Tribolium castaneum: one gene and its partners. The main gene of each other region encodes a partner of the protein of the gene in region 5 in a complex. Links are inferred from orthologs where the notes say so. Each region holds a gene or a part of one and is shown on either strand. Other genes may lie near its edges. The genes, in order: MED9, MED23, MED1, MED16, MED8, MED21 and MED18.

What was found.
Region 1: MED8 (region 5) and MED9 share a complex: the UniProt entries of both Drosophila melanogaster proteins name them as parts of the mediator complex. The link is inferred for Tribolium castaneum from reciprocal best matches to the Drosophila melanogaster genes MED8 and MED9.
Region 2: MED8 (region 5) and MED23 share a complex: the UniProt entries of both Drosophila melanogaster proteins name them as parts of the mediator complex. The link is inferred for Tribolium castaneum from reciprocal best matches to the Drosophila melanogaster genes MED8 and MED23.
Region 3: MED8 (region 5) and MED1 share a complex: the UniProt entries of both Drosophila melanogaster proteins name them as parts of the mediator complex. The link is inferred for Tribolium castaneum from reciprocal best matches to the Drosophila melanogaster genes MED8 and MED1.
Region 4: MED8 (region 5) and MED16 share a complex: the UniProt entries of both Drosophila melanogaster proteins name them as parts of the mediator complex. The link is inferred for Tribolium castaneum from reciprocal best matches to the Drosophila melanogaster genes MED8 and MED16.
Region 6: MED8 (region 5) and MED21 share a complex: the UniProt entries of both Drosophila melanogaster proteins name them as parts of the mediator complex. The link is inferred for Tribolium castaneum from reciprocal best matches to the Drosophila melanogaster genes MED8 and MED21.
Region 7: MED8 (region 5) and MED18 share a complex: the UniProt entries of both Drosophila melanogaster proteins name them as parts of the mediator complex. The link is inferred for Tribolium castaneum from reciprocal best matches to the Drosophila melanogaster genes MED8 and MED18.

What each region holds. Positions count from the first base shown.
Region 1 is NC_087395.1:15,956,684-15,960,979, reverse strand, and holds the start of MED9 (mediator of RNA polymerase II transcription subunit 9), read left to right. Parts: upstream 1-1,496; 5' UTR 1,497-1,537; coding exon 1,538-1,638; intron 1,639-1,694; coding exon 1,695-1,800; intron 1,801-4,266; coding exon 4,267-4,296. Other genes in the region: Mrgn1 (E3 ubiquitin-protein ligase MGRN1), read right to left, coding at 343-494, 543-730, 778-1,037, 1,086-1,218, 1,264-1,346. UniProt on the Drosophila melanogaster protein: Component of the Mediator complex, a coactivator involved in the regulated transcription of nearly all RNA polymerase II-dependent genes.
Region 2 is NC_087394.1:35,203,805-35,208,086, forward strand, and holds the start of MED23 (mediator of RNA polymerase II transcription subunit 23), read right to left. Parts: upstream 2,801-4,282; coding exon 2,387-2,800; exon of another isoform or gene 2,342-2,386; coding exon 1-2,341. Other genes in the region: stress-associated endoplasmic reticulum protein 2, read left to right, coding at 4,205-4,282. UniProt on the Drosophila melanogaster protein: Component of the Mediator complex, a coactivator involved in the regulated transcription of nearly all RNA polymerase II-dependent genes.
Region 3 is NC_087399.1:8,918,250-8,922,446, forward strand, and holds the start of MED1 (mediator of RNA polymerase II transcription subunit 1), read right to left. Parts: upstream 2,801-4,197; 5' UTR 2,659-2,800; coding exon 2,640-2,658; intron 2,577-2,639; coding exon 2,437-2,576; intron 2,388-2,436; coding exon 1,672-2,387; intron 1,621-1,671; coding exon 1,389-1,620; intron 1-1,388. UniProt on the Drosophila melanogaster protein: Component of the Mediator complex, a coactivator involved in the regulated transcription of nearly all RNA polymerase II-dependent genes.
Region 4 is NC_087396.1:16,567,347-16,571,307, forward strand, and holds the start of MED16 (mediator of RNA polymerase II transcription subunit 16), read right to left. Parts: upstream 2,801-3,961; 5' UTR 2,684-2,800; coding exon 2,610-2,683; intron 2,562-2,609; coding exon 2,418-2,561; intron 2,373-2,417; coding exon 1,924-2,372; intron 1,875-1,923; coding exon 1,722-1,874; intron 1,677-1,721; coding exon 1,480-1,676; intron 1,430-1,479; coding exon 888-1,429; intron 1-887. UniProt on the Drosophila melanogaster protein: Component of the Mediator complex, a coactivator involved in the regulated transcription of nearly all RNA polymerase II-dependent genes.
Region 5 is NC_087396.1:15,801,447-15,805,318, forward strand, and holds MED8 (mediator of RNA polymerase II transcription subunit 8), read right to left. Parts: upstream 2,609-3,872; 5' UTR 1,525-2,608; coding exon 1,006-1,524; intron 960-1,005; coding exon 594-959; 3' UTR 501-593; downstream 1-500. UniProt on the Drosophila melanogaster protein: Component of the Mediator complex, a coactivator involved in the regulated transcription of nearly all RNA polymerase II-dependent genes.
Region 6 is NC_087401.1:8,393,385-8,396,172, reverse strand, and holds MED21 (mediator of RNA polymerase II transcription subunit 21), read right to left. Parts: upstream 1,328-2,788; 5' UTR 1,140-1,327; coding exon 1,098-1,139; intron 1,050-1,097; coding exon 834-1,049; intron 784-833; coding exon 610-783; 3' UTR 501-609; downstream 1-500. Other genes in the region: Set1 (histone-lysine N-methyltransferase SETD1B), read left to right, coding at 287-460; FAM21 (WASH complex subunit 2A), read left to right, coding at 1,588-1,707, 1,759-2,078, 2,126-2,318, 2,462-2,657, 2,703-2,788. UniProt on the Drosophila melanogaster protein: Component of the Mediator complex, a coactivator involved in the regulated transcription of nearly all RNA polymerase II-dependent genes.
Region 7 is NC_087394.1:9,286,578-9,289,130, forward strand, and holds MED18 (mediator of RNA polymerase II transcription subunit 18), read left to right. Parts: upstream 1-1,140; 5' UTR 1,141-1,298; intron 1,299-1,349; 5' UTR 1,350-1,351; coding exon 1,352-2,020; 3' UTR 2,021-2,053; downstream 2,054-2,553. UniProt on the Drosophila melanogaster protein: Component of the Mediator complex, a coactivator involved in the regulated transcription of nearly all RNA polymerase II-dependent genes.

The DNA of each region.
Region 1 (4,296 bases), on a different chromosome or scaffold from region 5:
GAGCTAATTTACTTTAAATGGAATTGCTTTTCTTTTAAGCGGACGCTCCAATAAACGGACGCAGACAATGCAAATCAGATCCTTGAACACAAAATCTCGCCTTCAAGCAGACAGCATGTTAATTATGACAATTCGTCAGAAAAAAAAGAATACATGTTTTATTCAATAGTAAACTGATTTAGATTCTGGCCTCAGAAGAGGTTTTAAAGTTATGTGTATTATTTATTGTGGCTTAGTGCCAACAAAATTGTCCGTTTGTGAGAGAGTTCCGCTTATAGGTGTCCGTTAAGAGAGATTTCACTGTGTATTTATGCCCAGTAGGGCATGTAAATAATCAATCACCTTGTCGTTATTTTTGTTCTCAATGCCGTATATTTCCTGCAGGAGGTAGCAAAGACCGTCAACGAATAATTTCTGTTTGAGAGCTTTTAAAACATAAGTACCGTCGGACAATTTTTCGGCTGTGGCGATAGTTGTGTGTGATTGTCTCATTTCTGGAACAATCAATTCAAAAATTAAATTCAAAAACGGGTCAAACCAACCCTCAGCGCCTTCCTCCGCCACACAGTGAATGGCAATTGGAATAATCTCCCGGTCAACATCATACAACAACTCCTCTTCTGTGTACTTCGAGGGATCAAAAACGTGAGTCATTTGGCAAAACTGTTGGTTCGCACCGCGTTTGTAATGAAAAGTCTCGGAGGTCGTGTTAGGGTCACGCGGCAAGTACCTTCAAACCCCATAAAATTGCAAACCCATGACAAAAACCCAACTTACGTGACTCCACTTGGTGTAAACTCCTCGGTACAAAAATAGTAGATTGTTATTGCACACCTGACGTCACAATCGAACGTGAACTCGATATTAAACGTCGAGCTCTTGCCCAGCTCAATATCCCTGATGTCCCGCTCGTTCTTTTCCGCCGGTTTGGAATAATCAGCAGGGGCGCGGACAAACCGCAGCGACTCTTTCCGGATGTTCACCAGACTTTTGAGCGTTTTTGTGGGCTCATTAGGCTGGGGCGGGGGGTAGGGAAACTAGAAACGGCACTGTGGGGGCGAAACAACCGCATAATGGCTACTTACAGGGGTTGGTCTACTGCCCAGGAAATTCAAATCGGAGTTCTCGCCGAAGAGGTAAGACTCGGGCTGGGGGGTGTCGAAGCGCTCGCCCCCCATTATAAAGTGGCTCCCGAAGTAGTTCCCTTCAGAAAAACGCCTTCAAGGTAATTGGTACGGAAAAAAGCAAAGCGACATACCAGACCTGGGCGGGTACTTGTACGCGTGGTTTGACACCACGTCCACTTCCTCGACCCCTGCGTGTTGTCTGCTAGCCAACGAACCCATTCTGCGGGCTTGAAATTGCCAAGTTTTTCCAAAATCAGAAATTATTGTTGTTTTTAGTTTGACATTATTATTGACACTTGTGACATTTGAGGCGTCGTCGCCAACACCAGGGACACAAAATCCCTGAGTGAATGTGTCAGAAAATTCATGTGGGAAAGAAAATTCAATGAAAATTCAGGAAATGCCTTGCTATGATGGAATCTGACGAGCACAACCAGGAGTCAGAGAGGAATGTCACGGTGGAAAATTTGAATATCGAGATCTTGCCCATTATCTACGAAATAATACGCAGGTTTGTTGATAAAATTAGTGACAGGCAAAATCGTAATGTCTTGCATAATCATTCAGTGTTGAGAAAGACCACCACGATAACACCGCCAAGGCACGAGAGTCGCAAGACTGTTCCCAGAAGGTGCTCGAGTTGCAAAAACGTTTGGACCAAGCCAGAGCCGAGGTAACTTTCTTCCACCCTAATCACTTCATACCCATAGTAGGGGATACGAATTAGGATCATACTGTACTATCTTCTGGTTACCGGATGAAAATATCTTTTTATCAGAGATAATATCCAAAGTCCAAAGGATTGTATCGCGAATAGGTTTCCTAAAAAAAATGTTCCAGGCCATGGTAAAGGGGGCTAAAAAGCGTCGAATTTTAGCCTTTTTTCAGTATTTTACAACTGAAGGCTACAGGGGAAAAACAACCTCAGTCCACTTGTTTGAGAAAATGAGGTGGGGTTGTAATATTGTAGTTTTTGAGAAAACAATCAGATAATTGAAGCGGGAAATAGCAAATACGACTTCAGTATTGAGCAAAATATGTTACAAATTACACTATAATGAAAAAAGTTATGGTTCCACGTTAGAAAACTTTAAGGATATAATTATTTTTTAGCTCACTGCAATCAAGAAAATAAAAAAAGTTAAGAGGCTTGTTAAAATTTGAATAACTTTAAACTTAAATGAAATACCGTATTTTTTATTTTTGCATCTAAAAGACCTTTAAATTGTCTATTAAAGAACATTAACAGTTAAGTGCTGATTACTCAAAAGATTATACTTAACTTAAAACATTAAAAAAAGTCATTAAAAATTATTCACAATTGTTTCAATAGTCGAAGAGTAAAATTTTCAGCTAATAATAACTTTATTATTTTTCAGTTATTTTTCACAGTAAAATAACTAAAATTTTCTTATCTATGGCGAATTTTTAAATCCCTGTTTAAACTCCAACAAATGATCCGTGGTGAAGTTGCTAAGGTTATGGTAACAGTAATCCTCATGAATAATCTGCATTGTTGATGAAATTAAATTTTAAAGTCAAATATTTGTTTAATTATAAAGGTTAGGCATTTGAAACTTTGTTTTTAAGTAGACAATTTAATAATCTTTGAAAAATAAAAACAAAAACTTTTATTATGTTATTCAACTTTTAACAAACTTCATAATTTTTCTACGTTCCTAATTGCATGCGTTAACCAATTTAACTTTGAACATTCTTAAAAAAATAAGTTTGTATTGTAGCTAATTTCGGAAATATCCTATACAGGATGATTCAAAAATGTTCGACAAACACTCGTATGGTGATAAAAGACGTTCAGTTAAGCACAAAAATGAAGTCAGATTTTTTTATATATTTTTAAGTTTGTATTCCTTAGCAACGGTATCGATTGTTTCTCTTTTGTTTCCTAATATGTTGAATTTAAGATATTGTCGAATTTACAAGTTTTTTTATTGTTTTGCACATAATTAGACATTATTTGTTAATTTTTTTCAACAGGTATTTGTTTAATGTTGCAAGAGATGTCGTTTCTGCTAATTAAGGTCAAAAAAATATGGTCCGAAGCATCAAAAAATTAACTTAAAAATTTAACTTTGAAGAGCTGTAGCTATCTCGTGAAAAAAGACTCAAACAATTTTTTGTCATAGGAACTTTTAATTCAGTTTGATGTCCTTTATCAGCACCCGAGAGATTGTACGAGTACTTTTGAATTACTCTGTATATTTGAAAGTAGTTTTAGATGAGGCAGGTGATTAGTATCTACAACTTAAGGAAAAATAATAATAATAAAAACCCGTTATATGTACGAATAAACAGGTGGTTTCAAATGAACAGCAAAGTTGCTGTTCTCTGCTCTTCCACTTAAACCTTTCAAACAAGAAGAAATATACAGCAAATGAATAAAGACAAAATAAAAAAAAATTGACATAACAAACCAGTACAAAATAACCAGTAGATTCCCATGACTGTCCTTGTTCGGAAAATTATTTGTCAAATATTGCAGCCTTGAAACTATAAGAAGATTCAATTTCTAGAACTGTCGATGGATGCTATTATAATCTTTAGCTACATTAAAAAAGGGACTTTTAAAAGAGACTTGTGCGACTTACGGTAACATTATGTATGTCACGACGGAAGATTATTTCATCAGTGGGACTTGGAAGTAACTATTTTGTGATATAAATAAAGTCCAAGTTTTGTTAATTTGATTTTTATATAGCATGGTCGCCTCACGTCCACTTTCAATTATTTGATCTTTATTTTTTTAAGTTTTCATTTTTTCTTGTTAATTTTCAATACTTTACACAATCATGCAAAATTCGATTGTCTAATTTCAACACTTTTAAATTTGTGTTTGTTAAATAATATTACATTGTTGAAAATGAACCTAGAATGATTCAAAGTGAAAAAACTTGAAAAACTTTATTTATACTCCTTCCTCAAAAGCCCAAGTATGTTGGAATTTCCTGATGCCATAGGCAAACCGGAGACAAGAATTCTGAACCAATTACTTTTCTAACAATTAAAGATAAATAATGGACTTTACCTACTCGCATTTTTGATAAAATAAGCTTCATCCGTTAAACAGATGAGTGCAGAACGACCGTAATTCGAATCTTAGACTACCAACCCCTTGCAGATCCGGCTATTGCCCGGGATTGAGTACAGC
Region 2 (4,282 bases), on a different chromosome or scaffold from region 5:
CGGGGGCAAACTTCTCGGGGTATTTCCGGTGAAACTCCAAGTGTTTCTCGTGCCAGTTGGTCTGGTTCCAATGATCGGGCGAGTTGTCTTTGACGAAATCCTGCACCCGATTCCTAAACTCTGTAGCTTTAAGCAACACCAACTGGATGATGAACGAACAGACTTGAGCCTCGCTCCCTTCCTGCGTCCGCAGCGCCAAACACAAGACCAACCGATCGATTGTCACAATATTGTACTTCCAGATCATGTCATTGATCGTATCCACGCATTTGTTAACATGTTGCCCCCCAGGACTGTTACTAAACTCGAACACGAGACAATCACAAAACTTCCTCAAGTGGGCCGAAAGCGCCCTTGCCCCAATCCTCTCCAGGATTTTGTAGGCAATTGGCGTGATGTGATCAGTCTCGAGGAGCATTTTCCACAACAAACAGAGGAAAAGTGGGGGCGCTCCCGCAACCCCAAAATGCGCCATCATGTCATTTTCGTTGTTCATGGACGACCACTTCCGGTACTCCTCCTCCACTGCTTTCTTCAATTGTTGTTTGTTTTCTTTAGGGACGGCATGTTGCGTGAAAAACTCGGCCAGAGCCCTGGGGAAGCATTCGAGGGTGTGGGGGGCCCACGCATGGGGGGTACTTTGTGCAATGGTCGCCAGCAACTCGTGACACCACGAGCCGTCGGCCCCCGTCACGTGCGTGGCCCTAGCTAGGGTCAAAACCAGCGCCCGATTCAACTCTTCCGATTCCGCCGAAATTAACGTCTTGGGTTCGGCTAAAAAGCGGCTCAGTTCGGGCTGAACTTCGCCACTGCCCAGCCCCGTGATTAGACGCAAAGCGGTCGATTCGACACATAAGTGCAGTTGGGTTTGGTTGGCTTGCGGCACCGCTGCCAACGAATGCAAGTGGCTGAGTAACTGGACACGGTAGTGGGGGTGGATGTGGTGCATCCGATAACTAAACATCTCCAGAAGTGTGTAAAGGGTGCCCCAAGCGTGTGACTTGTATACGGTTGGCAACAACTGGCTTATGAACCCTTTGATGCCCAACGATTCGATCTCGGTGTACACCAACAGGCGACTGTACGTTTCCACCAAAGCTGGTGATAGTGGCATTCCTAACTTGGCCTGTGCTAGTTTAATCACGTGTGTGACAATACTATGGATTAAGCTCATTTTCGAATGCACAGTTAATGAGTCCAAGACGGCCATGCTTAAAGGCGCGGTAGGTGGGGCTGTTGATTTGGGGCTCCCTTGGATCGTCTCAACTAGCGCTGCCATTGGCTTACTGTAATAATCGGGGTTCGTTGAGTAGGCGTTGCACAACAAGGCGATTCTGTAGTCATTTCCCATCGCTAACACGGTGTTATTAGGGGGCACCAACTGTTGGAGGAAATCATGATGGTTGCGTAGTTTGGCGGGAATTGGCCAAGTCAAGTTGGTCATTTCGGCTTGCGCTTTCTTAGTCAAGTGGATCCAAATGCACGTCATTGCCATCTGTCTCGTACACTGGGGCTGGTTGAAGTCCGGAACGGGCAAAGGGGGCTCCTGTTCCGGAAACAACAGTTCGTAAAGCCGCAAAACTGGGAGGAAATTCGAGAGGGGGTTCTTCTGAATCGAACCGGAAATAAACTGCAAGAGGACCCACATGAGTTGGTCGCGCCCTCTCCGCAAGTCGCGCCCTTGCAGTCTCGAATGCAACGATATAACAATGTTTGGGAAACTCGCAAATTGGAAAAGAACAAAATAAATTAACTGGGACGACAAGTGCAGCCATAACCCTTGAGTGGCGCTCTCATCGCCCTCATTTTCCGTGCGTTCCAGCGCCAAAATCACCAACTCGACCAGTTGTTCCTCAAGGGCGGCACAGTGTCTCTTGTGCTGTTTCTGCAACCCTAACATGCCACACACCATGTCGCGACTGTACGGCTGTTCCAGAACGTATCGTAATAAACCGGTTTGCTTCTCTAGTAATTCGGGAGCGTACGGTAAAGTGCCCTTAAGCGAGAATCGCAACGTGCACGGGTCAAGTTTCCAGGGATTGACCAAGTGTTCGGGACAGCCGCTGTGCTCCACAACTGGCCGCATTTCCGCCTGGCCTACGATAGCCACCATTTGGGCACAGGCCCGAAAACTGCCAACGTAATCGGAGAAGAGGGCAGCAAGGCGCCAGTGGGGGCAGTCAGGGTAGGCCTTCTGGAGCTCGTTCACTAGGAGATAGCCAGGCAGGAGGCACGCGTTCCTGTCCATGATTCGTTCAGCGACGCTTAAAAGAGCCTGGGTTTGGGGCTGCAAGCCCGCGTTCAAGCGCCAGGGGAGACTTTTCGCCTTCTCGCAACATCCCTACAATCAACAATCAAACAATTACCACAACAATTCCCCACTTACTTTCATAATTTCGCGAACGCCCTTGTATTCAACCAAATCTATAATTTTCCGCACGAGTTTAAAGCACTCGATCCAGAACCGCGCATTGGTGTGTTGTAGTTTATCGAAATTCATCACCACCTCACACACGATACGGGCCCCAATGGTACCGTTGCGCACGACACTTTCCAGGAGCTCCATCAAGAGCTGGAGCTTGCTTTGGGAACATAGTACAGCAGTGTTGAGGTACTGGCGAAGGGCGGTGTCTAGCTGCTCCTGGGGGATGCTCCGCAGGGCTGTGTTCAACTCTTGTTGCCATACAGCCACCTTTTCCTTTTCGGCACTGGGGCGGTGCACTAGAAAGCAACTAAAGGCTTCTTCGATGCCTTCAACTTTGAGAATGTCGGTTAGGACGTTTGTTAGTGGCTCGCCCATCGTGTCCACGGTTATTTTTCAGGCGAAAACATTATTTTGTGGTTATTTGAATGGGATAATAACGGTAGGTTATGTTTGGCCGACTACATGTTTAGGCAACACATTATACAAGCGCCTAACACTGCAGAACCGTATTCGATTATTTTGACTTGCTGGGTGAATCCTCAGAGATAATAAATAATTGCGTGCGTTGTAAGATGTTATCAACTCTCAAACAACGTCAATCTAAATTATTCCATACCTAGCCACATTGTAATAAAATTCATATCAGCCCGAATCTATTCGTTTATTTGCATATCCACTTCATACGTGAAAATTTGTTTGCTTATCTTTTAATAAAGGCAATATTATTACCGCACGTCTCGTTCATTATGCGCTTAAAGAGTTCTTTTTGTCTCACATTTCGATATGAACTCACAGTTCATAGAACAGGTGAGGTGTCACTCATTTAAATCGTTTTAATTTATTTGTTTCTTCTCCCTAGGTGCAAATTTTAATGCACGCTCAACAAATTAAATGTGCGGAAAGTATTTTTGGGAAATCAAACTACATGTGGCTTTGCAGCAAAAGAACTCCCGTTATTTGGATGTCGACGAAAGATGAATTCTTAATTCGACAAGCCCTAACAAAGGTACAATTTAATTGTTGCAATTAAACGTGCAATTATCCTTCTTTAGGTCACTCCTGACCAACAGGTGAAAGTTATGAAACAATTATTGACTTGGCTGGATAATAATCCCGAAGTCCACTCTTTGAAAATCCCTGAAATGTCGCTAAAGCTCCTCAACAACATGGCTAATGCCAATGCCATGAATGAAAGGACTTTTTCAAGAATGAATAGTTTCAGAAACAGTCTGAGACGCTTGTCCTTAATTACGAACCGAATCGCTCCCGCAAACACACCCAGAAGATCCGTAACTTTCAACGACGTTCCCATAATTTACCGCATAAAATACTGACAAAAAAGTAACGAAACCTTTACAATATCTATGTAAAATTTGTGCCGAAATAAATGCACCTTAAAATTTTTGTTTTTTGAAAAATCTGAGTTAAAAATCAGGGTAAAAAGTCAAATTCAACGTTGTTTTTGATGTTTGAAAAAAATGCATAGAAGATAGGAAAATGACCAAGAAAACTAGGCATATACTTGATTATCATAAATTATTGCAAATTGAATGAACCCATTGGAAATTTCTAGCACTCCCTCCCTTGTTTGAAATTCTCCACGCGTCCGTGGCGCATGCGCATTTTCATCTTACGTGTCAAATAAACGTCAAAAAAGCGCCTCCCTTGCCCCTCTCCGCACTTTTCGGGCCAGTGTCGAGGCACGGACGTGTCAAAAACGCGTGTGTATGTTTTTCTGTTGAATTATTTCCACTTTTCCGTATTTTTTTCCTGTGAACGATGGCTCCCAAACAGCGGATGCGTTTCGCCAACGAAAAGGCCAGCAAGAACGTGGTCTTGCGAGGGAATGTGCCCAAA
Region 3 (4,197 bases), on a different chromosome or scaffold from region 5:
AAGGGATTATAATGCGAAACTGGTCCTTAATCTTAAAAGAAAAGATTTGATAAAAAAAAATAAAAACAAAAAAATCATATTTTTTTCACATTTAGATTTAGTGTTATTATTAAAACTTGTGAATCTAAAACTAATTTATTTTTAAGATTTTTAAAATTAATTAAATTTTAGTAGAGAGGCTGAGGATAGGTTGTGAATAACGTGTGAATTTTTTGAGATTTTTTTCAAATTTGAAACCCCCTCAAACTCCAGAAAAAGAATGCGTTGTATTTGGGAGAAGGTTCGAAGAAATTATTAGGGATGCCTTGACTAAGCATTAATTTATATATTATTAAATATTCAAATTATTAATTAAAAAAAACAATTACAGGACATAAGTTTCTAATTTCCAGTCTAATTTTGATATTGTTAAAATCTTTAATAATTAAAACCTGCCTAAATAATTTTTTTAGAGTTATTTTCATACACAAGATTTTTTTGTCCCATCCGCCATGTGTAAACAAAAAGTAAATTAATCGTGGTTTCAAAAGTTTCAACAAAATCTACCATTTATTTATAAAGTAATTCTTAGAATTAGTGCCTTTTAAATTAACAGAATTTTATAAAGATTGTTTAGCGATAAAAATGTAAGGTCTTTTTTGTGTCCCGTCCGTCACCAATTTGTATTCTTTTTCCTGCTCATATTTCAAATTTTACAAATGTGGCTCCGACTATTGTAGGTTGCAAATTGTTTGACTGGTACTAAGTTCCTATAAAGAAAAATTCACTTCTACTGATACTGGTGATAAAAATTGGTAAAAAATCTATAGTGTCCCGTCCGTTAAAATGAAATGGCTGCTTATATATCAAGAATTGAGGTGGTTAATTAACTATTTTTTGACGTGAAATTAATTGTTTTTTTAATAATAATATAATAATAATAATTTATTTGTGGCAGTAAAACAGTTACAATATAATTAATTACAACAAGAAAAAAAATACGATAACAAAATTAAAATTTTCTACGAGTTGTTCCTACCACAAAGTGGACCAAAAGACAGCAAAGCTGATCAAGGTTTTGACCCAGACAATAAATGAGAAATAACAAAAAAATAAACAATTTGATTGAAGAAAAAAATAAAAAATATAATAATAATAAAATATCTAATTCTATTTAACAAAATTATAGAGCAAAAAAACACATAAGAAAAATCATTTTGTAAGAAACATTTTGTATTTATGTTTAAAATTGCTGATTTTAGAATTTTTTAATGTCAGAGGAACTTCATTAAGTAGATTATTTTTGATTATTTACCATTTTTTGGCTCTCGAAAAGTTTGTACCGCAAACTAGGAGAATCAGTAGTCAACATGACCATTTTTTTATAAATATTATTGCCAACCACTTACCACAAAAAGGCCCTTATTGTTCCCAGACTCCATTTTCCCTTCACTGGCGTGATGTACTATTAAACTAAGTAACGGATGAGTTGCTGATTGTTCTATAGTATCCAATTCAGTAACTTGTTGAATTTGTCTAACTAAATTGACACACATTGGCATTGGTTTGTTTAATTTGAGGACAAAACAGGCCGGAATTGCTGCACTATTTTGGCTACTTAGCGATGAAAAAGACGGCGTACTAAAATAAATTTCCCTCAAAGAAAAAAAAATTTTTTTTAATAATTTTTACCTTTTCCCGTTAATATTCCTATTAACTGTGATGAGAGTGGTCGTTTGCAACTTATGTGTAGCGGACCCTTCCATACACACCGTCACACTGTACCCCAGCGCTTTACTAACGATCGTATCAACAGTAATAGGTTCAATATCACATTTCTCAACATTTAATAAATCATAAGGAGAGACAAAATAGGTGAGTTTCATGGGGTGTCCCCCTCGGCGCTTCTCCAGCACCCCAACCGGAGACTTATACAGCAGGTTGAAAGGTTCCTTCATGAAAGACTGCAAGTGAGCCAAGGTGCTCAAATCAGACTCCAGCGACTGCAAGGCTGTGAACGCCTTACACTTGACCTTTTTCTCAGCATTGAGCTGGTAAATCGAGGCAAAACCTTCCAACTGGGCAGTGAAATCGGCAAAATCGCCACTAGATAAACAATTGACGAGCTCAGCGCAACTCTGTTGCTCCAATTTACTGTCATGGTGCACTTTCACGTCTTTGACGGCCCCCGTCTGGTCGAGCACTATCTCCAGGTAGAACATGTCGGAGGAGATGAAGAGCTCCACCCCCGAGGGGCCCACCATGAACTTGAGCCCCAGCTGCCGCGTCAAGCTCTCCAGCCGCTCGATCATGCTCTGCAAGGACGTCACTTTGATGGAGTGCTGCAGAGTGTCGAGGCATTTCTGGTGCTGGCTCTTCTCGACGCTGTCCAACGCGTAGCGCTTGTCCTGAAAGTAGGGCATCAATGGAGGCAGTGCCAGACATGACATAACCTACAAGCATGGCCATTCGCACATTTTTGGATATCTCTGTCAAGCTTTTGTACTGCGACGCCTTCGAGCGCAGCTTCTCCATCAATATCTCCAACTGCCAGTCTTTGGATTTGTCCACAACGGACGGTGGCATCGCTAAATTGCCTTAAAAGTAAACAAAGTTGTAAATGTCAAAAGTCAAACTCTTGGCTGGGGCGCGCAACCCACCGTTTGTTACGCGATTCATGATGAGTTCGGGCGAAATTAACGTTAAATGTTCGTAAACATTTTCTATTTGGGGCGAATTAAGGGAAAAAAACCGATTTTTCGAACATACATCAGCACCAAACAAAAACTTGACAGTTTCGTTACTTTCCCCAATTTAGGGATATTTGGCTACGCCACCGGCGCCCAATTCAAACTCGTGTCTGATAATAACAATAACAATAAAAATATTCAAGTGCTTTTCCATTCATTTGTGTTTACCAACTCTCAACTTTATCAAGATTTGATACTTTGGAGTGCTTTGAATTGGTGGCACATATGTTGTGCTTATTGCAACGCAAATATTTTAATGAAATGTGGTCGTAAAACAAACTCCCGGAATTAATCCGCGTTTTTTACCAACGAATTTCGTATTAGATCCGTCAATGACAATTAAAGCCGTAATTCGCTACAACTTTTCAACTTTTTAGATCGCAAGAAGTTGCTGACACGATAATCTCCTCATCTTCCCCCAGAACTGGAGCAAATGCCCGCTAACACATCACAACTAAGATAATAGTACACCATAGGCACATTTCCAAAATTTTGAATAGTTTATTCTCGTTTTTTTTTTTATAAAGAAATCAAATACGTTGTGCGTTAGTTTATACCACATAATGTTTTTTTTTATTATTTTGTAGGCATTCAACAAAAATCACATAAAATTGCTTAGTTTACTGTATTTCAAAATTTCTTAGATAGATGTTTTTTACAAAAAATGTTTCCAAACCGTTAAAACATGATATGAGGGAGTTTTAGAAGAAATCAAGCAAGATTGACTACTTTATTTTACTCCATGTGATTCAGATAAAATGAAAAGCTTTCAAAAACCAAATGCAACAAAAAATAATTTACACGAAGGGTGTTTTACATTTTATTTCTGTAATAAATTAATAATAGCCCCCGTCACCTTAGGTATCGTCTGATATTAAAGAAGAACCTTGGTCCCCTTTATACCATTGTATTTGCTGTTTCAAAACTATAAAAACGTCAACGTCACATTTTCTCACAAAATTTGCTGTGATGTGTGCTGTTATAAATTATTCATGCAGTTGAAGAAAATAATAACTAATGTAATTTATACTTTCAATGAGATATCTAATCATTAATAACTATTTTACAATTTTATCAACCTTATTTAAAAAATATTTGGTAAAGTGCGTCGTTGTTGTTTTTATAGTTTTGAAACAGCTAGTGGCAGATTTAGTGTAATAAAATTAAAAGAAAAAAAATTGTAGTAGTTATTTTTTTTAACAAGTTGCTTTGTAATACAAGCATAAACTAAATAACTCAAAATTGCCAGAAATCACGTAAATACATTAGTTTAATGAGTTATAAAAATTCATCCTTTTAGTTTTACGAATAGTTTTATTGAATTTTATAACAAAATTTATATTCTTCTTCAATAAACATTTCCAGAAATTAATTAAGTGTATTTAGAAAACATTGGTATCATTATTAATCTTGTTTTTCTTAAAAAAAAACAGAATAAAATTAAACGCTTTAAAGACAGAGAAGCTTC
Region 4 (3,961 bases), about 770 kb from region 5:
TGAATTTTACTCGCAAAATTCGAGGTGTTGCGCCTAAAGCACACATTAAAAGTGTTTCCGGTTCCAATAACAATATTCATCAAAAAATTTGTTTAGTCAGGTATCAAAATATTTTCAAGGTGGTGGCACTTCCGCTTATACAGAAATTGGAAACATTTTTTTTAGTGAAAAGCTATATTCTTTATTGCTTTTTTTTGGCTACTCAAATTTTTCTCAAATATTTTGTGTTTATGTTTCCTTTTGTTTTCTAGATATGTATTTATATTTTTTTAAAACTGTTTAGATTTGCACCTTCCCTTTCAAAAATCGACAACATTGTCATTTATAATATTTCGAAATCGTATTTGGGCATTTAGAAGAGAAAGCTTTATTCCCTTATTGGTGTTTTCAAAAAAGTTAAAAAAAACATTTTAAAGTTACGTTTGGGAACATCTCATTTTTTTTAATGTAACCCTAAGCTTTATAAATAACTTGAAAAATATTATGGTGGTTATAGTTGGCTCGATGCAAAATTACTGGTAGTTTTTTTCTTCATTTAGTAAAGAAAGAATCAATTTGGCAAAATTGTGTTTTAAGTAGTTGAATTTCTTCAAACGTAATCTTTCAAATTTAGAGTTTGTCACTCTTTACGGAATTTAAAATTTGAAAAAAATCTAATCATTTTCTTTGAAATACTCTACAGGAACTTCGATTTTTGAAAAAGAAGGTGCAAATCAAAAAAATATAAATATTACAAAAACTGTTAACTTTGCTATAAAAAAACTGGTAAAAACTCCTTAAAATATCTCGCATAATACAAAAATACAGTAAAATCATAAGCTTTCTATTTAAAACAATAATTAAATAATAAAATTTTGTCACCCAATGTCGGTAAACTAGGAACCTACCTGCATAGCGATATTTTCATGCACAAATACTGCACGTAGAAAAACTGTTGCACTGCCGAGGGCTGGCGATTAAAACTTTCGGTGAGTCGGTCACATATCGCGTCCAACATTCCAGGTCTTAACACTAGCAACAAGTCTAACCAATCAAAACCGCTCATCATGCAATACTCTAAAATCGTGGTACAGTAAGGTACACTTAGAGGCGTTGAGCTGTCGATTTGGGGCGGTAACTTAAACATATGCAGACTATCGTCTGAATCAATCACGAGTAAAATATTGCCGAGCCAGGACATGTCAATGTTTGAGATTTTGATGCTAGTTTTGGGGTATCTGGCGAGAGGTTCGTCAAAATAACGCGGACAAATGGTCAAAGTGGTGCTGACCAAATGTTTTAGAGTGTCTCTGTAGAGGCAATGGATGGAATTGTCGGCAAATGTGGCCACGACATAACCACTTGAAACATTATTTAATAGACTTAGTTTACTTGTAGCTAGTGAAGTGACCTTGCTGTTATACTGGAAGTGGCACTGGTATTGCCACAACTAAAAAATAAGTAAGTATCGATTATCACATGATGAGATAATAGACGTACGACAGTGTTAAAAAACTGGGGAGTTTCAGATTTTCCTAGTGATTTGTGAACCGGCAAAGCCTTCTCTCTCAATTCCCACACTTGCAAACAGCTTATTTTATCACTAGTGGCTGAAACAACCACCGAATCTGCGTCCTCTCTCATTATCCATTTGATATGACTTATGTGGCAATTTTTTTCTTTGGAAACTTGTTCCACTAAAACAAACGTTAAACAACGGCTTAAATGACTCAGTTTGTTACTTAATGCTTCCTTAGGCGCCTCAAATAGAAAAAAACTGAGTAAAGACTGGCTTGTGATGACACACTTATCTTCAGCTTTCCTGACAGAGACTTTATAACACTGAATAGGCATTGATAAGTCTCCGTTACTCACAGCGAGCAAAAAATGACCGTCTACACAATAACATTATTTGGTGTTTAAATGATTTTGTAAAAAACCTACTTTTGCCATAGCAAATATCAGCAGCTTTGATAAAAATCCTAGTAGGGGCCAGGCTTTCTGTCGCCATGACCATTGCGACCTGGCTCGTGCTTTGGGGGAGTAAAATCGAGCACAACATTCCCGTCGTTGTGAGTAGCAGGGCCCCACTGGCAGGGCGCCCCCCAAACTGTTTAACAGAGCAGGCAAACTTGACATGGTGAAACTTTTCCGTGTACAAAGCGCTGTCTTTTTTCTCAGAGTTGAGGCAGATTTTCTTGCCCGAGTGGAAAAACGCCGCTGACAGAATGTGCTCCCCTTCTAGGACAGTCTGGAGGACAAGGGTCCAGTCATTTAGGATGTGGTCTTTAGCTTTGTAAATTTTTATCGAGCCGTTTTCGTCCGCGACTAGCAGAAGGTCGCCCGTAAAGTCCCACTGGAGCACCGAAATGGGGGAAGAGTTTGATAATATTCTGGAAATGGAGGTTTAATACAGGAAAGTGTTTTTGGGGACGTACTTGTGGACCTGCCAGGGACTGTTTAAATCGCAGACGTAGACATTAGAGTTCCAAAAGAGGGAACCCGCTTCTTCGATATTGCATTCCGTGCTGAAAGCAACAACGTTGGAGCTTGAAATCGAGCATAAGGTTGACTTCTCGAGTCTGGAATTCAAACGGTTGGTAAATGGTTAACTTTCGTTTGGGCGGTACTTGGTGAATGATAGATGCTTGCTGGTGTCCACCGATTTATTTATTTTCTTATTAATGGTGAAAATATGGTCCATTTTTCGGTATTTATCTAATGAAGCATCTTTTTAAAACTTTACTGAATTGGCAGATTTTTGACACCTGACAGCTGTCGGGCATACGCGTGAATGTACGCTGACGAGAAATCTTCTATTCTCATAAAATTGCTCACAAAAGTAAATTACGAAGTGTTGTTCGAATTGTGTAAGCTCTGAGTTTAGGTTTGATGGATAGAAAAAAAAATAAAAGGTTAGCGATTAGTAGAGAATTCTCATGAGTGTACATTCTCGGGAGATGCAATACTGGTTGCGCGCGAAACATTGCCAACGTTACGAGGGACAACATAAAAGTATCCAAATACGAGAAGTACCCACCTGGGCGGAGTTTAATTGGATATTGGTGTTTAAATACTGGATGTCTTATTTCAGTTCCTTTTCAAACCTTGCAATAGTAAAGCAAGTCCACATGCGACTGCTTTAAAAACCCCTGATTTAGTAACCTTTTTTTAAAGTAGTCATGCCCCAGTGGGTGCTATAAGAATTTAGCAAACTCTATTTCGTGGAGGTGGTTTGAATAAATTGCAACGAAAATTGTAAAGGACTTTTATTGTATATTCTAAGTGTATAATACAAAAAATATTTTCATAATGGCCTATAACTGTATAAACAATGCCTTTAATAACAATCTTAAAATAATGAAGACATAAGTTGTGACTAAAACAACCAAGAAACAACGCCTTTCATAAATTAGTACCGATTTTTAATAACTGTAGGGCATCTGGGAAATAACGCTAGAGATATCGGATAGTGTCACTTGAGAGGAATGTTATTCGTTTTTAAAAAATAAATGCAAAAGCGTAAGTACTTAGGGGAATTAGGTAATATGCACAAGCAACAATTACACATCGTTTCATTCTTATTGGTAGACACGAATTGTGCGTTTAAAAGTTTCAATCGGGGAAAATTTAACGTTGTCGAATTTCACTATAAAATTACATAAAATCTTAAAATAAATTATTATATAAAGAATATTTAAAAATAGATGAGCCAGAGCGAAGAGCCCCATTCACGATGTATAAAAGGAAGCAAAGTTTAAAATTAAAATCGCAAAATAGTGGTTTGTGATACCTAGTCGACGTGTAAAAATCTGATAAAACTTCACAAACCATTATTTCAAACACAAGCATAGTCACGACAAGAAATAAGAGTACGGGCATATCTATCTATTGTTACATAGAAATAGATATCCACCTCCCCACTAATGGTAGTGTAAGTCAATCGAATTACGCAGCCAGTCAGCAGGGGGGTGGGCGTGAC
Region 5 (3,872 bases):
AATTGTTGGTCAGTATTTTAAGAAACAAAAGTATATTAACAAATTAGAGAGTATAAAGAGTTGAATTCTTTTATTGTACCACTTTGTATATAGGGAACAAAAACTTAGGAAAATTCTCTTGCCATGTAAGGAAAATATATGACCATAGAATAGTTGCAATTTATGCACAAGAGTATTTTATTTGTTGTTTGTTATATTTTTTTAAATGCGTATTATACGTAAACAGGGTCCAGTCACCCGCGTTACGTTGTAGAAAATATTTTTTTAAGTTGTTAATTTTTGTTTGACTGGGTCCCAAGTATTCTAAATGTTATATGTTTTATATTTTATATAATGCGTAGCATGTGCTAACATACATCGTGAAAATGTTCAAGTTCCGCTGTACTTATTGGAAAAGCCACCCGTTCCGACCAGCCACACTTCAACCATTTGTTGATAGTATAGTTTCAAAGTCTATAAAATTAATGCTTTTTATAATCTACTCATTACGCTACAAAGTGTTAATCTTTGTTTCCACTGTTATATTTAGTTATTTTTGTAAGATTATATCTTAATAAATAAATATATCTCCGTACACATTAAAAACTATTTCACTAGCGTCCATATGGATGTATTTGGGTGGCACTTTTGATGTTAGTCTTAATAGCAGAGGGCGCCTTATTCATCGTCATGGTTTGCGTGCTGGGGGGCATCTGTCCTTGCCCGGGAGTGCCCCCTGGGCGCCCCTGCGGAGGCACCATCATCCCTCCCGACGTGGGATTGGGCTGACCGTTAGGGTTCGCCCCCATCTTGAGTCCCTTCCCCATTCCAACAGCCGCCACAAGCGAGTGAGTATCAGCCACACTGGAATTCTGCTGCGTACTTCCCCTGGCGGAAGACTCAACTTCCCACTCCTCCCTCGCTTTACTCACCAGTTCCCAAACGTGGGACACAACCTTTTGATACGCAGCAATTTGTTTCTGAAAGTTTGCGTTGAAACATACTCTACCAAAAATTTTAACATACCTGTGCGTTCTCATACGATAAAGTTGACGCCTTGTGTTCCAATTGCATCATTTTATTCTCCGCCAACGGTTCTAGTTTGGTTCGAAGATAATCTGGGACTAAATCATGGGCGAAGGTTGTGACTCTGTGTTCGGTCATTTGGGCCAATTGTTCGTCCCGCTCGGGGGACAACATGAGGGGCAGTACTGTGAGATTTCTGAGGGTGGGGCATTTGTCGTGGCTTAAAACCTTCGAAAGGGAGGTGAGTTGGCCGGACATAAGGGCGTAATTGTCCAAAAATGTGGGCCAGTTGAGGGTCTCATATTCATTCTCCACCTTGTAAATCATTGAAGCTATCGATGATTTTAGGTCGTTGACACGCTGGATTATGGAATCGAGAGACGATTCGAGTTGTTTTTCTTCCCGTTGTTGCATTTTGCTGTATTTTTGGCGCTGTTTACAAAAACATAACCTTAACCACGATGACGGTATGTCGGCTGTGGCATTGCCGTCTCGAACTCCAGGCCTGCATGTTGACATTGTGACGTCACAGTAAGAGTCTAAATGATCATAACCTAACTTTCTGAATTTTTGCAAAAAATTAATTTTAACTATGTTGCGTCCAACGTTTTATGCAAGAAACGACGGAAAAGTGTATCTAAAGAATCCTGATACTGCAAATGTGGTCAACGAACGGTCAACTATAATTTTTATAGTGACATACGTTGTGATTTAAAGTACCTTATCCGTTTGTTATTACCCGAAAAACATATATTAAAGTTTATATTTTTTGATAGTTTAAACCATCTAGCCGTACTTAAACGTCTAAAGTTACGTCTATTAATACAAAAATTCTCCTTATGGGCCTAAATTTTGAATAACCGCGACTTAAAGACGACCGTTTTATCCAAGTTTTAACACAGGTTCTTATGGAATGCAACATGTTATTATTCGCTAAATATGTTTTAAATTAGTCGTAAAAGTGTGATCGAAAGTATAAGAATATGACGAAGAATTTTACGTCATCTCTAGTCACTTCGTGATATTTTATTATAAAATCATCCCGAAAATATTTCACATAAACACGACTGTTCTTGGTAACAGTCCAATTAGTTCGGGGTATCTTTCTTGACCATAATGATCGCAGGGATTCTTGTTTGGGAAAGGAAAACATAGGTACATAAGGACCATTCATGTTAGACACACAATTGGGAACACAACACTTATTCGGCATTTTCTAAAATTAGGAATGCAATAGGATTAAGTATGTTAGGTTTAGAGACTGAAATATGCCTTATCTGCTTATTTATTACCAAATTAAACGATTAAAAACAATAAAACCAAATTTATAAACAAAAATAATGCAAAACTATCCTAACCTATAATTGTCAAAATCACGTCACACAAGACTATAAACACACAAAATTCATTCCCTACAACGCAACCACAAAACAACAAATTCGTAAACAACAACAAATTACTTAATAACACTCTCAAAAACACCAAAAAGTACAATATATTCAAACGATGCGAACAAATGTCACGACTCTTACGATGACGTCACAATAAACAAAAGCTAGTAACCTGACGGCCTGGAGTTCGAGACGGCAATGGCTGTGGCCCTAGAATAACACTTTAATAGAAGCGGAACATAATGGTTGGCAATGAATTCCTAGCTGAAGCCATCTAGCCGCATCATCACGTACTAAAAATGGCGCGAATTTAAAATAATTCCGATTACTTTATATTTTTTTAATTTTTGCTCACGTCAAAATGATGCCAATACCTTATCAAATACAATTATTATGAAAATTTCTTAATTGTATTTGAAAAGGTGGATGCACAGACAGCACAGATGGAAGAATTTTACCCAACATGACACGATCACATTTAATGTTAAAGATATTTATTAAATCCATTAAGTTTACGAAACTAATAGTCGTCACCGAATCGATGATAAAGACATACTTGCAATCAGCCAAACTGGCACCGGTCTGGCACCTTATGTTTGCAACTTCTGTCTATGGGAGTCTCCTCGCAGTGTGACTCACTTGCGGTTCGATCTCAAAAAACTCACTTTTGGGAAAAACGCACCTATCTACGTAAACCTTCTGGAGCTCATTACTACGTTATATTTTTGGAGATCATGTTGTTCCTAACCGATAGTAGGCAATAGTCTAACCTAAAGACGACATTTTGATCCACTATAATAATAAAAATTAACGTGATATTATAAAAAATAAACTCAAATTAAAATCAACAAAAATGGCGATTCAAGTAAAAAGTGAGTGAAAATAAAAATTATTTTTCTAATGTTATTTTCAATTTGCACAAGAAAATTCATAGTGTACGGTCATCAGGGCACTCAGAGGAATCGTTTGGTGTAAGTTTCAGCTTGAAAATCCAGAAGTAGTTAAAGTAAAAAATTACCAAGTTATACTTTATGTTTTATTACGTGGTAAAGTTAACAACACACGTTAACATACCCTTTATAAACGTTTAAACACCCTTTTTCATGAAAAGGTTGACACGAGAAGTGCATTTTTCAATAAATCTCACTGAAATTTATGTCGTTGACTCAAGGTAGATTTGTCTGTCCTTAAACATGTTCAATAATAATTAATAGCGCTCTAGAAGAGCAGGAAAGCACACAAAAAACATTAAAGTTAAAATTTAACACTTCAGAAGAGATCATAATACACCCTAACCCTACTTTCTGAACTTTTGTCCTTATCTGGCAATAGCACATAATAAAGGTAGAGATTTCGACCCTAAATATCCTATCATAACGCTCTGAAAGGGCAGAGATGGAGACAAAATTCATAAAAGTGTAAATTTTGTCATTTTCGGGTGACAACATAACCCTACTTTTGGAACCTACCGAATTT
Region 6 (2,788 bases), on a different chromosome or scaffold from region 5:
AGTTTGCGACAACATATTTCCATTTTCAACGGTGTAGGTACAATGTGTTTTTAAATGATTCTTGGTGTACGTGTAATAGAAAATTTTATTCTCCATAAATTTCTTCGTAGGATTTTTCTTGTGTTCTTGATTTGTCCATTTGTTTTTAAATTAATTTAAAACGACTTGGCGCCGAGACAGTATAATGCTCAAAGCGCCCTCATTTTTACATTTTGGGTACGATTTTGTATCTCGTTTCGTTTCCTAAGCGACAGTCTTCCATAACCCGAAAAAATGATTTTTACAGCCGAATTGCTACGCCAAAGTCATCACAATCGAGTCGCAAAAGAAAATAGTGATCTACTCGAAACAGAGCATAGGTGTGAACGAGGAAATTACTTACGATTACAAATTCCCGATCGAGGACGAGAAAATCCCGTGTCTGTGTGGCGCGGCCACGTGTCGAGGAACACTTAATTAAAGGGAAACAAGACAGACTTTAAACCGAGTTAGTTACTATATAAAATTTAAATTATCTTTTTTATTTGTATATATGTTTCTGTAAATAGTACATGGTTATTTGTGTTTGTTTTTCATCACAACCGCAAATAAAATTCATTAACAGCTCACTTAACTATCCTTACTCCCCGCTTTTGTCAAATGCTGCATGTCCAGCTGTGATTGGGCGATGTCGCTCAACGCCGCCTGGATTTGCTCCAAGAGATCCTGACCTTTACGAACTATAGCCTCGAGACGCTCAGCAGACTCTTGATTGTCTGATTCCAAAATTCGCAAGCTTTGCAACTGAAACAGTGTTTAGTCCGCGGTCGGACCAAGTCATTGTAGATAGGTACCTGTAATTCGGTTGAATTTTCCTCGCTCGGGAGCGATTCAATCAAAGTATCTATGTCTTTGGCACAGCGCGCAATCAACGTTGTGAATAACTGGACGTAGTCTTCTTGGTTCTGTTGCTGGGGGGTTTGGGAGCCACTCCTGTCGAAGTTTGGGAATTTGCTAGGAGGGGCGAACTGTTGCAAAATCCCAATGCTGTTGCAGAAATGCTCGGCTTGCTGCGACAACACGAATGCAATTAGTGGTACAGTCTTAGGGGGAATTACCTGATTTATGCAATCCTGGAGCTGGGTCAAACGATCGGCCATTGAGGTTATGTTACCCAATCACCGACAAGTGATAAGACCCGAAATCACATAAAAACCAACACTGATGATAATTTGTTATCTCCCGAGGTTTAATATGCGACAAAATATATTAATTCGTACGAAATAACTAGAATAATACTAGAAGGTGAATGACATCTTGCAAAAACAAACACACATGATTGCCAACCCAAATCTGGTTGGGTAAAGTCTGCGTAAATTAATCCCACCGGGCCGAAGTTACATTTTAGTTATCACGCCTGATTTCAAATATAGTAGAACGGTTTTATTTACAAATTAATTGGTTTTATTTAATCAAATAATAACGCAAAACCGGGGAGTAATAGCCAACCCACGAGTTGAAAGTCCCCAAGTCAGTTTTTGACAGATGTCAAATTATTATTATTATTAATGAAAAATAGCAATTACAGGCCTGTTCAGCGCTTTAGAAATGTCCGGGGCCAAGCCGTGGGAGCGACCATGGTCCATGGACGAAATAATCCAAAATTCGGACAATTGGAATTTAGCCGGAGATGTGGCCCTTTTGAACACTCTCAAGGCTTTTGCAGACGTATTTCGCATTTTTGGCCCACATTGAACCGTTTCAGCGTTCAATTTTTAGAATCTCCTGACTCGAACAACCGAAATCAACAATAACTTGCAAAATTTGACAAGCTCCCTGTCTGAGACAAGTCTCCAGTTGAATATAGCCCAAAACGAGTTTCAAAGTTTGCGAAACAGCCAGTTTATTGAAAGTCGGGTTTATGAGGACGATGAGACTTTGGAGGAGCCGGTTGAGGCGAAAGCCGAGGAGAAAGAGGTTGATAAGACTGAGGAAATCAGGTTGGCGGCTTTGAAGGGTTTGGAGGTCTTGGAGACGTATTTTGAGAAGGTTGAGGTGTCGGTCAGTGACAGTGAAGACGACGATATCGACTTGCCCAAGTAATTTTTTTCTAAATAATTTACAAAAACTAGTTTGTCTTTTCCAGTTTTGTCCTCAGACCCAAAGACTTGTACCTGGAGCGCCCCCTTCCGTACGTAATCGGCTCAGAAGAGTGGCAAAAGACGTGGCACGTGGGCCTGGAGGACTCGTCCAGCGATAGCGAAACTGAGAAAGTCTCAGATAATTTCAGTGAAAGCGACTCAGAATCAGAGTTGCCAATTATTCCCGACAGAACACAGGTACTTTACACATGTTTTTCCACTGGTTGAGTTGCACTTGATCCATTCATTATCATAATTTTATTGGTCTATTAACCGGCCAACCGAATTTTTTGTTTAGTCGCGATCCAGTCGCCATGGGCAATATCTGGTTCTTTTTCCAGATCAAGGGCACCTCTGATACCAGTTCTGAGGACTTGCGAACTGAACCGAAAAATTTCGTCAATTCGAGTGATAGTGAAAACTCAGTTCCGGTGCAACCAACTACCAACTTTGCCGAAGAGTTGGCGGCGAAATTGGGGAACGTGATTGATCAAGAGTACGTCAATCGACGGCCAATCCAGAAAACGCCACAATACGGTAATTGTTTTTGGAAGCGGACCGCAGACTAAACGCTAATTCCAGATAACCTATTTTTCGATGAACCGCCGCCTTTGGACGAACCTAAGGGGTTGTTTTCAGGGGGTAAGGGCTTGTTTGATGACGATGAT
Region 7 (2,553 bases), on a different chromosome or scaffold from region 5:
TATTCAATATGTTATAGGCAGATAAATCTACCTTTGAGTCAACGACATAAACTTCAGTGTGATTTATTGAAATGTATATAGGGCAAGAATGAACTTTTCGTGTTAAACATTTTGATGAAAAAGGACGTTTAATCGTTTATAAAAGGCATGTATAGGTGTGTTAAGTTTGCCATATAATAAAACATAAAATACAACAACTTTTCTATAAAAGCATTTTGCAGAACTCTTATTTATTATTTTCACTATTTTCCTCCTTTTATTTGTGCAAACGAGCCGTTGATGTGAAATTTTGGTGTGAAAATTACTGGTATCGCCACAAATTGTGTTAAATTTAAGTCTCCAGAAAATTCGGTTTTAAAAGTAGGGTTATGTTATCATTTGGAAATGTCAAATCTTTCATTTTTATGGATTTTGTGTCTGTTTCTGCTCTTTTAGAGCGTTATTAATTACTATTGAATATGTTATGGACAGATAAATTTACCTTTGAGTCAACGACATAAACTTCAGTATGATTTATTGAAATGTATAAAGGGCAAAAATGAACTTTACGTCTTAAACATTTTGATGAAAAAGGGCGTTTAATCGTTTATAAAGGGCATGTTAAGGTGTGTTAAGTTTACCACGTAATAAAACATAAAGTACAACAACTTTTCTATAAAAGCATTTTGCAAAATTCTTATTCGTTATTTTTACTATTTTCCTCATTTCCTGTAATAACTGATTCGCCCTTCGGAGGCCATTCTGAATACTGTAATGAATTTTTAAAGATAAAATTTGCGAAATCGGAAAATTTTAAAGAATCTTTAAAAATTCATTAAGGTCCCAAGGGGTGTTTGTCCGAACATGATTTTTAACAGTCAAAGGCCCTATCGAAGAGCTTAATCTCCTGCAAAAATAAAGAAAATTGCATATAAAGGGGGTGAAAAAAAATCAGTTTGCATTGCTTGAATATGAGAATAAAAAATGCAGAAATTAAATACAGTTAAGTTTTAATTTGTAATAGAAACTCATTACAATGGTCAGGAGATGTTCTACAAATGTGTTATGCAAGTCAGCGTAACAACTTATTGATGTTTTTATAATGAATTACGATTATTTTGATAATTTTCCTGGTGTGAACTTGGCTGTAGAAAACGAGAATGGTGGGGAAACGGTGCTAGCTCCATGCGCGCAGCCCTTGTCTGGTCGACTGTAATTTTCATGGTGCCACCACCATTTTTGGGGCTGTCTCCGCCGACATACACTGACAACTTACACTTCAATCAAAACATAACCTCCAAAAACTGTGATAATCTTCAGTAATTGTCGGAAATAGGCCGTTTTCCGCAAAGTGATTGTCACTGTTACAGAAATGGGGACTCCTGGCACGGCCATCGACTCCCTAAACGCCGCCCTCAAATGCAACATAATCCCCAACCAGGAGTACCTCCTCCAGGGCTCAGTCTTGGACCAATACGTCGAGGTGCTCCTCCACCGCTTGCGCGGGCTGTGCGACAACGTAGACAGCGGCCCTGAGTCGTTCCACGACCACGAATTGTGTTTCACCCTCCGGGCCACCAACCCAGGGGCCCCCATGGTGCTCCCACTGCGAGTCCGGCGAGCCCTCGACGTGCCCGACGCCGCCTGGCAGCTGCGCTACGTGGGGCAACAGGAGCTAGGCGACAAGAACCGGCCAACAGTCGTCAGATCGAGTATTGACATGGCTTGCAGTTCCACAATTGTTGAATTTTTGACCGAGCTTGGATGCAGAGTGGATTTTGAGTACATCGCCCGGGGGTACATGTTCCGCAAAGGCAGGATGAAAATCACAGTGTCGAAGATTTTCAAAATGGGGAGCATGACGAGTAAGCCGGGCGAAGGCGTAGAAGCGATTTCCCAGAGTTATTTAGTTGAATTGTCCGTTTTGGCCCCGAGTGGACAAGATGCTATTGCGGAGGATATGAGAATTTTTGCCGAGCAGTTGAGGCCGTTGGTTCAGCTTGAAAAAATCGATTATAAAAGACTTGGAAATTTACCGTAATTTATTTATAAATAAAATACAATTAAGATTTAACTAACAACAATCTATATAGCCTTGAAAAATCCTTAAAAAATATTGCCAAACCTTTCCCTAAAACCCTGAATATGTCTTTTTATACTTTTTTAAATAAAAAAGTTAGGGGGTGTCTACTAAAGTGATGACACCTGGTATTTTAACTACTTTCCCAAACTTTGACTGATATCTTAAAAACTAACAGCAATCTACACAGCCTTGAAAAATCCTTAATAAAATATTGCTTAACCATTCCCTAAAACCCTGAATATGTCTTTTTATACTTTTTTAAATAAAAAAGTTAGGGGGTGTCTACCAAAGTGATGACACCTGGTATTTTAACTACTTTCCCAAACATTGACTGATATCTTAAAAACTAACAGCAATCTACACAGCCTTGAAAAATCCTTAAAAAAATATTGCTAAACCTTTCCCTAAAACCCTGAATATGTCTTTTTATACTTTTTTAAATAAAAAAGTTAGGGGGTGTCTACCAAAGTGATGACACCTGGTATTTTAAC